Oryza sativa Japonica Group: one gene and its partner. The protein of the gene in region 2 binds, or shares a complex with, the protein of the main gene of each other region. Links are inferred from orthologs where the notes say so. Each region holds a gene or a part of one and is shown on either strand. Other genes may lie near its edges. The genes, in order: recQ-mediated genome instability protein 1 and DNA topoisomerase 3-alpha.

What was found.
Region 1: DNA topoisomerase 3-alpha (region 2) and recQ-mediated genome instability protein 1 share a complex: the UniProt entries of both Arabidopsis thaliana proteins name them as parts of the RMI complex. The link is inferred for Oryza sativa Japonica Group from reciprocal best matches to the Arabidopsis thaliana genes TOP3A and RMI1.

The regions. Positions count from the first base shown.
Region 1 is NC_089038.1:19,598,493-19,602,993, forward strand, and holds the start of recQ-mediated genome instability protein 1, read right to left. Parts: upstream 3,103-4,501; 5' UTR 3,030-3,102; coding exon 2,178-3,029; intron 1,538-2,177; coding exon 1,367-1,537; intron 942-1,366; coding exon 796-941; intron 369-795; coding exon 235-368; intron 1-234. UniProt on the Arabidopsis thaliana protein: Essential component of the RMI complex, a complex that plays an important role in the resolution step of homologous recombination, in a process called Holliday Junction dissolution, to limit DNA crossover formation in cells.
Region 2 is NC_089037.1:3,507,064-3,511,602, forward strand, and holds the start of DNA topoisomerase 3-alpha, read right to left. Parts: upstream 2,871-4,539; 5' UTR 2,771-2,870; coding exon 2,465-2,770; intron 1,292-2,464; coding exon 1,113-1,291; intron 885-1,112; coding exon 812-884; intron 537-811; coding exon 414-536; intron 333-413; coding exon 211-332; intron 138-210; coding exon 65-137; intron 1-64. UniProt on the Arabidopsis thaliana protein: Releases the supercoiling and torsional tension of DNA introduced during the DNA replication and transcription by transiently cleaving and rejoining one strand of the DNA duplex.

The DNA of each region.
Region 1 (4,501 bases), on a different chromosome or scaffold from region 2:
AGAACGAAAAAAATCTGGCAGGTAGTCTACTGAGAGTGCTTGTTGCAGCAATTGTGGACAAACTAGCCTAACTTAGCATTGAAAGCCAATGGATTAAAAAAACGGCCACGTTATAGCAATGCTCTGTGTTCCAGCAAAACAATTACTACTAATTTATAATTCAGTTTCCATTCTTTCTAAGAACAAAAGCTAGTTCGCCACACAATCAATCTATCAATGAAATCTATATAGTACCTAATCTGGTTGGATGAGGGGTATTCACTGTTCTTGGCACTGAGGCTCCTTGCTCGGCATCATTTGTAGCATTGGCATTTGTTGGCCAGGCTGCTAGAGTGGCTCTCGAAGACAATGGTAATCCACCTTGTTTCCTGCAGCATGAAGAGTTGTGACTTGTGAACAAACAAGCAGTGTCCTGTCAAGAAATGTTATATACACATTGAAAAACAAAATTTCTGGCATGCAACTGACTGGATAGATGTGAACATTGAGTATTTGTTTTGTTTAAACTTAGAAGCTAAATAAATTCCATGAAATTGAAAAGAAATGGAAGGCAAAGAAAGTTCCGTTGTTCATAAAGGACCTCCCAGCATATGGCTCCCACCATTACCACAGAAAGGCCACTACCACAGATCCTAAACAGGCACATTTGCATTTGAATGATATGATTTATCCAACTACTAGGATATTCGCAAAAATAACTCTCAAGTCATTGCTTAAAATCCAAGTTTGAAGCATGTGTTGCAATTAAATGTCATGTATGTAAATCTGCTCAATTCACTAATGCACAACATATACCTTTTGCCACGTGGCGGTTTGTTTACTTCAGAAACAAGCCTATTACGTGCTTCATCCAGTTCATCATCAACACCCCCAAGAATCTCAATGACCTCGGGCACCAGCATAAAAAGGCCTCTCCTTATGTGCACATTTCTTATAACAATCTGAGATGTGTTGACAAGTTATGAGCTGTTGATACAAAAAATAGCAAATGGAAAAAATGTCTCTTCCAGTCACACTATTTTGTATTATCACTTAGTCAATAGTTTGTTCGCAATCAAATTGTTTACATAGATTGATAAGCATTTATCGTTTAATTGTAGAAGCCTGTCTCCAGAAACCATTTCTTAAGAGAAAAGTAAATTGAAAAGGCAGGGAGTCTAACAGAGCACCAGTGACCATGGAAGCTACTATCTAGGAGGGAAAAACCAGAGTTTTGTGATAATTAGTTTGCTATATTGAATGCTAATGGATAAATCTAACTATGTTGTGTGAAAAAAAAATTCACTGATAATTTTTAAATGTAAACTAATAAAATGAACGCAAAATACAAATGTTCTGAAGAAAAAGGAACAGAGAAAGCAATGACCTTAAAACCAGCAGGGGCAAGAACTTCCAGGTCTTTGATCGGCCTGTATTCCATTCCATATATGCGTTGGATCCCATCTGTCATTGATAACTTTAAACATCTTTTGGGCCCCGCATGTGCATCACGATATCTTTCCCTTAAAGGAGCTGACAGGTTGACAATCTCATCAACCTTACAAACTCAAGAGTCAGTTAAACCATAGGAAAAAAAGAACAAAAGGAAAACCCCAGAACACATTATCACAAAAAAAAATGCAAAACTACAACAATGTACAATTAGTGTATGCTAAAGTTAAAAAATTATTGAATATGGCATGAGCTAGTGTATGCCTGTATGGAGATTGGAAATTGAACTTACAAGACGTATAAAGGCATCAGTGCTAGGAAAGAAATACACAGGAACTGACAACTACTTTTCAGAATAAGCAATTTACTGTGCTATCAAAATCATGTTTATTTCGGCGCGGTACCATTTGTGCTACGAAATTCAGCACTCATGGCACACTTGATGAGTTGATATACAAAAGAAGAAAACCACAGCTTTCCATTCTATTGAGTGTCAGATGAATCATGAACTACCGAACTGAAACAAGTAAACATCGACGGGCTCAAGCTTGAAGCACATATTTATTCCCTGAAAATACTAGCAGATATTTGATCTTAAGTGCCTTCCAAAATTCCGCAGATCACACCAAGCATGCCACACTAGGCGGCACCACAGCAGTACAGGTATAGGGAACCTAGAGCTCAGTAACAAAAGTATGACCAAAAAATTTAACCACGCATTCTAAGTAAAGAGAAAATGGTATAACCTGCAGCACGAGGGGGCCATCGAGGACGGCGTTGTGCATGCTCCCAACGCCCTCCGGGAGCACGCCCGCGCCGCACGCGTTCATGTCGGCGAAGAGGAACTGCTCGAAGCACCGCCTGGCCATCGCCTCCACGCCGCCGAGGCCGTAGAACCCGGGTACCCCGGCGGCGCAGGACTCGAGCCACTCCGGGCGCAGCCGCAGCCCGAGCCCCCTCAGGAACTCGTCCACCTGCCGCAGCGGCCCGCTCAGCGCAGACACCGGGGTGCTCGACGGCGGAATCGGGGACGGCGACGGGGTTCCCGCAGGGGATGGCGCCGCGGCTCGGGGCGGCGCAGATGGAGTAGGAGTTGGGGTTCGGGCCGGAAGAGGGGCAGCCCACACGGGAACGGGGGGTCGGGTCGGGGTCGGGGTCGGGGTCGGCGTCGGCGTCGGCATCGGCGTTCGCGCCGGAGGCGGAGGGGGCGGCGGAGGGGAGATGTGCTCGGGGGCGTCGACGAAGGGGGAGTCCCCATCGGGGTCCTCGATCTCCTCCACCTCCTCATACTCCTCCTCCTCGTCCTCCACCACCACCACCTCCTCCTCCTCCACCACCACCTCCGCCTCCGCCTCCTCCTCATCGGAAATCTCTATGGGAGGGGAAGGGGGAGGCGAGGACGGGGAGGGGAACTGAACGGGGACTGACCTAGGGTTTTGCGGCGAGGGCCAGCCATCGCCGCAGCCGCCGCCGCTTACGCTCGGGAAGGAGGCGGACGCCGAGGCGGACGCGGGGGTGGAGGCGGTGGCCGCGCCGCCGCCGCCGCCGCCGTCGTCGGAGTCGGAGTCGGAGGTGATGATTAGGTTTCGGCGCCTCATTTTGGGGGAGAAATTTTTGTTGGTTGATCGTGGGGTTTGGGAGATTTTGGTGGTTTCCCTCCAAAGTTTGGAAATGAGGGGAAGAGGGTTTTGGAAGGGGGGAAAGTTGGGGATGACATGTGGGGCCCATATGTCAGTGCCGAATTTTTGGACCGAGATGGGCTGGAAGCCTGGAAGGTTGGGATATTGTCGGCCTGGGTGAGGAGGCCTAAATAGGGAAAAGGGTAAGGAAAAGAAGTCCAAATTGACTCCCTCCAGGACATGTTAAAAGAGTGAATTGCACTTTGAGCTACTTCCTCCGTTTCATATTGTAAGACCTTCTAGCATTGTGGCATTGCCCACATTCATATATATGTTAATGATGCTAGAAAGCCTTATAATATGAAATGGAGGGAGTAGTACTTTTTACCCATGTTTCATTTTGGACTAAGGGTAGACAAATCTTTTCGCTTTGGACTAGGTGATTTTGCAAAAGTTTCAAACTGGACTGACTTTCTTCTCCATCTCTCTTCTTCTGGTTTTTTCACCATTGAGATGCTGCTATGGATCAACTCGAACAAACACATGACTAGGATTCCTTCTCTCGGATCCATTCCTGAGCTCGAACTCACAAAACCAAACCACATGGCTGCTCGCTGCTGCGGTTGTTGCCTGTGATCTCACAATCAAGTGATTTTTTCCAGCTCACATGATGTTGGAGGGAGAAAAGGAGCCAAAAGGAAAAAAATCAAGGTCCTGAATGATTATGATAGAGTATTGATGGGTGTGTTTAGTTACTGGTGAGCCAAGGAAATAGTGAGTGGCAGCAAAAGTAGCTAGGTTAGAGGCATGGAACACAAGAATGATCCAATGTGCAATAGAAGGTAACAAATTCCCCATCCAAAGTGAAAGACATGAAACATAGCCTAGTTCTAAGTGAAACTATGACAATAATAAGTGGTCTAAAATACAATTCACTCTAATGTTAAATTTGATTTGTTTTACTCAGTCGGATATATCAACTCCTCCACATATTAAAAGTTAAAACATGTACTCCCTCCTTCCCTAAATGTTTGACGCCGTTGACTTTTTTAAATATGTTTGACTGTTCGTCTTATTCAAAAAATTTAAGTAATTATTAATTCTTTTCCCATCATTTGATTTATTGTTAAATATACTTTTATGTATACATATAGTTTTACACATTTCATAACTCCACTGTTCCTAGAGCATCGTAGCCACAAAAATAAAATTTTTAAAATATACATGAGATCATATTGAAGTGACTTTTGAGAGTATTTAGTTGGACATTGTAATAATAATCATGTAGTACTCGATTAAAACAAAAAGCGTCTGTAGTCCAACGGTTAGGATAATTGCCTTCCAAGCAATAGACCCGGGTTCGACTCCCGGCAGACGCATCTTTTTTTCTTTTGTCTTTTTCTTTGCTTGGCATTCTCGTCAGGAACTTGAACACGCGGGACCTCGATCTT
Region 2 (4,539 bases):
AAAGATACTTATCGTTATTATTTCGTGAACATTGGTGTTGAAATAAAAGATGTCAAGGGCTCACTGTCGCCATTGGTTCTTCAACACACATTTCATAGATCACAACAGCAGATGAGTAATCAAACAAATGACCACGTCTGCCAAACAAGAAATAATCTCAGATGACGTTTGTAATGAAAGAATCAGTACAACATGTCGAGTGCATCTTACATCCAACCAAAAGATGCAGTGCCTTCATCTGAAGTGTGGGAACAATTTATTGTCCAGAACTCTTCAGGTTCATGAGCTTGAATCTCCCAGAAACGCTCAACAATAAATCCTAGGGTTGGAAACTGCAATGCAAAGAACATGTTACACCAAGATGAAAGTAGGCATCATTTAGTATCTTCTGTTCATACTCTATAGTGAAGTACCTGGCAAGGACCATAACTCAGAATTATATTCCTATCATCACCAGTGTCATCAAGAACAAATGCATCTTTCAGCAGCATTGTCTGGAACCTTGTGAAGGAGGCACCGATGCGAAGGTCAATTTCCTGTACAAAATTCTTAATAATCATCGGAGATCTTCAAGACACTAAGAAGGTGCAAGAAAATGCTTTTCATTTGAGAAGAATAATATAAGAAGGAGAAAATATACCGTCGTCCCATTCCATTCCTATACCAGTACAAAAGCTATAATATTATAGTCAGAACATGTGGCAGAGGCTCTTCGAGGACCTTAGTTTGCTAGAGTTGCTGTAGTACTTCTCAGTAGATGTGATGCAAGAGAATGCAACATCAACAAAGGTTGGAATGATAATTTAATTACCTGTCTTGCATCAACAGCATCAGCAAAGAGCTTGTTGGGTCTGTCAAGATGTTGCACAGCTTCATGGATTTCCCTGCAGTTTCATTTCTTTAAGACATTAACAGGAGATTTGGGATGAGTGTGGGACTGTGGGTCGGGTTTATCCAGTCAACTTGAACACCATAGTTCATCTCCATACAACTAACTCAAAGTAACACCAATCGGGCCGGATGTGAAGTGAATGGGGATACCCGTGCGATGCAGGAGATGGATATGCCATCTTTGCAATCAAGAAGAGAAAGTCATCAGTAGCAACAAATACCTGTCAATCAAAGCTGAGAAACGAGCTCTCCAAATGTTGAGGCGGCTGTTGGCACCTGCGCATATATCAATCACTTCATATGCGATATTCTCACCCTCTCTATCACAATCAAGCCAAAGCACAAGCCACTGACACTTCCTGGCTTCCTCTTCCAATGTTCTTTTTATGTCTTGCTTATCCTGCAATTAATTAAAAAAATGAATATACCTCAGCTGAAAAAAAAAGAAACTGGAGCAGTAATTATAACTTCATTACCATCAGACCATACCACTAGCATCAAAACACAAAAACAGATCACGTGTTTGGGCAAATAGACAAATGAGCATGGTCATTCTCAGCAATTTAAGGCATGCCTGCATGTTACCCAATAAATCCATCTAAGATAGGAGATTCTAAAAAGACAAAAGGAAAAGATACATAGGCAATCTATCAGATCAATGATGACTATGGAGAAAACATACTGCTACACCAAATCACATACAACAAGCAAGCTCCAGCATGGTTGTGGCAGTGCAACCGACAAAAAGAGTAGCATCTTGTTCTCCTGATGCTGGAAGAACGGAAGAATGAGAGGAAACTTGTATATCTGTTTAACTTCTGCCTCTAGTTTACTAATTTTTCTGCAAGATAAATGATGTTGTAGGATAAACTTTAATTTCAGAACAAAAGCCCGACTTCCTGAGGCCTGAGAATAGTATCTGCCAGGGTGTTCATATAATCATACTAGGTCGGCCAGCCCGGCATACAACTACCCTCTTATACCAGCAATAGCAAGTATAGCCTTCAGTTTTTCAAAATAACCAAATAGGACAGTTTATGCATTACTGTATCCCTCTTCCTATCACAATAACAATAACTTAATGTATCACATGTATAGTACAACACACAGACGTATATGACTGGAACCAGATTGCTGCTGCGCAACAGTGCAAATGACCAGCAGCACTAGTGGTTCCCAATTCAAAAACGAGTAGCAATCATGCGATGTCCCCCGATCAAGCTCCTGAAGAACCCTAGAATAGAGTTCCTTAAGTGCAGTACCCTAAACAAAATCAGCAGACGCATCCATTGATAGTACAAATCAGGTACTCATTATTAGACCCTCAGGCCCCCACGAACTGGAATCCAGGTACAGTACACCACCAAACGCACGAACATAAACTAGTCAACGAAATTTCAGTGCCGCACATTTCACCGTGAGTTAAACACAGCCAACTCCATGGACGCAAGACACTAAGAGACCACACCATGCAAAAAACGACACGTGACTGGTGAGGGCACAATTCACAGGACACCGCGCGTTGCGCACCAACTGTTCGGAGAAATGGGTAGCAGGAAACAGAGAGCCGTACCTGGGGTACGGACTTGCGAACGGGGGCGTGGAAGAGATCAGCGGGGTCGCACGAGTGCCAGCGGCGGAACCGGTCGTCGAACTCGAGCTCCATGAGGTGCCCCGTGACGGAGGTGACGAGCATGTGGCAGGCGCGGCCGCCGATGGAGTAATCGAACTCGAAGACGCGGTTGTACCGTGACCGCCCCTCCCGCGACCGCATCCCGCCCGACGGCCGCGACAGGATCTCCGCGACGGACTTCGCCACCGACGGCTTCTCCGCCACATTCAGCACGCGGATCGCGCCGCCGCCGCCGCCGTGGTGCATCGCGAGAGGAGGCGCAGGCTACGCTCTGGGAGGGGGAGAAACCGGAGGGAGGAGGCGGCGATTTCGGCCTTACCTTTTCGAAATTTTTGGTTCTGAGCGCGCCCTCGAGAGCTAGGTCGGTTAAGCTTTTCACGAGAGAGAGCTGGGCTTTCGAGCTCAATTGTTCAAAGACCCATGAATAAAATGGATATGGGCTACATTTGGCCCATTCAATTTTCGCCAGCGTATTACGCGGATTCGACTTCGAGTCATCCTGAACTTTTTTGGGGTGGAGCCGTCAATTGTGAATTCGACCATTCAAGCTGCATCCTCTTTAACATGAAGAAAACGAGAGATTTAGCATTCCTTACTGAGCCTTGGAGAGTACGGAATAGTATTGAATGATCATGCACTTAAAACTCTGGAATGTTGAAACTGTGAAAGGGATTTCGTATGAATTCTACACGAAGACTCTCTTATGCCAAAGGTCAAGCTCTCTTATGCGAAGGTCAAGGTTTACAATTACATGAAAACCACGTGATGAATGGTTTTGCAAGTCGTAGCTGACCGCGACAACGCGTCGAGCCCTCGGGTAGGCACATCGAAGCTTGACACACAAGGAACCAAACGCGCTCAAGAGCATTATAAATTTATACAACATATGAACATATACGTGTTGACACAGTCTTTATATTCACCCCAGTTTTTCAGCCTTCGTAACTCGCCTTCCACAAGAATTCAGAACATACCAGGAGGTCAGCTGCTCAACTATGCCGATCAGAAGACAGCAAGTTCTGCCTCTAGCTCTCATTTTCATGCTGATCTTCAGCACCACAATCACCATCAGTCATGCATCCAGATTGCTGGGAGCGAGATCGCAGCCACGACAGGGAAGCACGGTGTTCTTAACTTCAGCAAAGCCAGGTGCATCTGGATGCACCAATGATCCTAACAATCCTGGAAGAAGATGCCAAACACCATGAGAGCTTTGAAACATGTACATGTACAATATTCATTTTTTTTTTCTTTCTTTTCTGTTCTTTTCCTGTTCTTCTAGAGGTTATTCTTAAGGAGCCCTTTTAACCCTCCACAGCCAATTCATTTGTTCTTTTTGTACAGAAGTTTTGATTGCCCTGATTTGTGCAGAGTTGTTTTCAATATGACATCTTTTTTATAATTGTTTTGAATGTTACCTTTTCCTGAACTCACTTGCCGTTTCCTTCTGATCAATCACGTTCTGTTGATTGTGACTCCTTAGCAAGCAGTACTCGTCTGTCTGTATCATGGCATGACTAAAAGAAACATCTTTGACGTAAGGAAGATCCAGTAATAGCAAATAACCTCGCAGATCATTATGGAATCTGTATGTTATATGTAGATATCTCAGACATCACGATGCTTTGTGTACTAATATCTCTCACCAACTAGGATTTTCCAGTGATCTTCCAAACTTCTGGTTCCCTGAACAGGAACAAACAACTGAAGTGAAGATAAGTAATTAATACAAGTGAGAATAAACTGTACAGTCATTGCCAAATTGAATCCTTTTCCTGATCTCAAACGGTGGTTCAGATCACTGTGGGACTACACAATGTACTACCACTACACAATGTCTTGACAAAACATAGAAGGGAGGAAGCACAGTTTTTTTTTTTTGGTGTGTGTGTGTGTGTGTGAGAGAGAGAGAGAGACGAGTTTGGTTTGAAGAGTACCTGAAAATTTAAAGGTGTACTTGATTTCTCCAGTGCCCCGAAAACAAAAGCACAACCCCGGATAGCAAATTCCTGGGT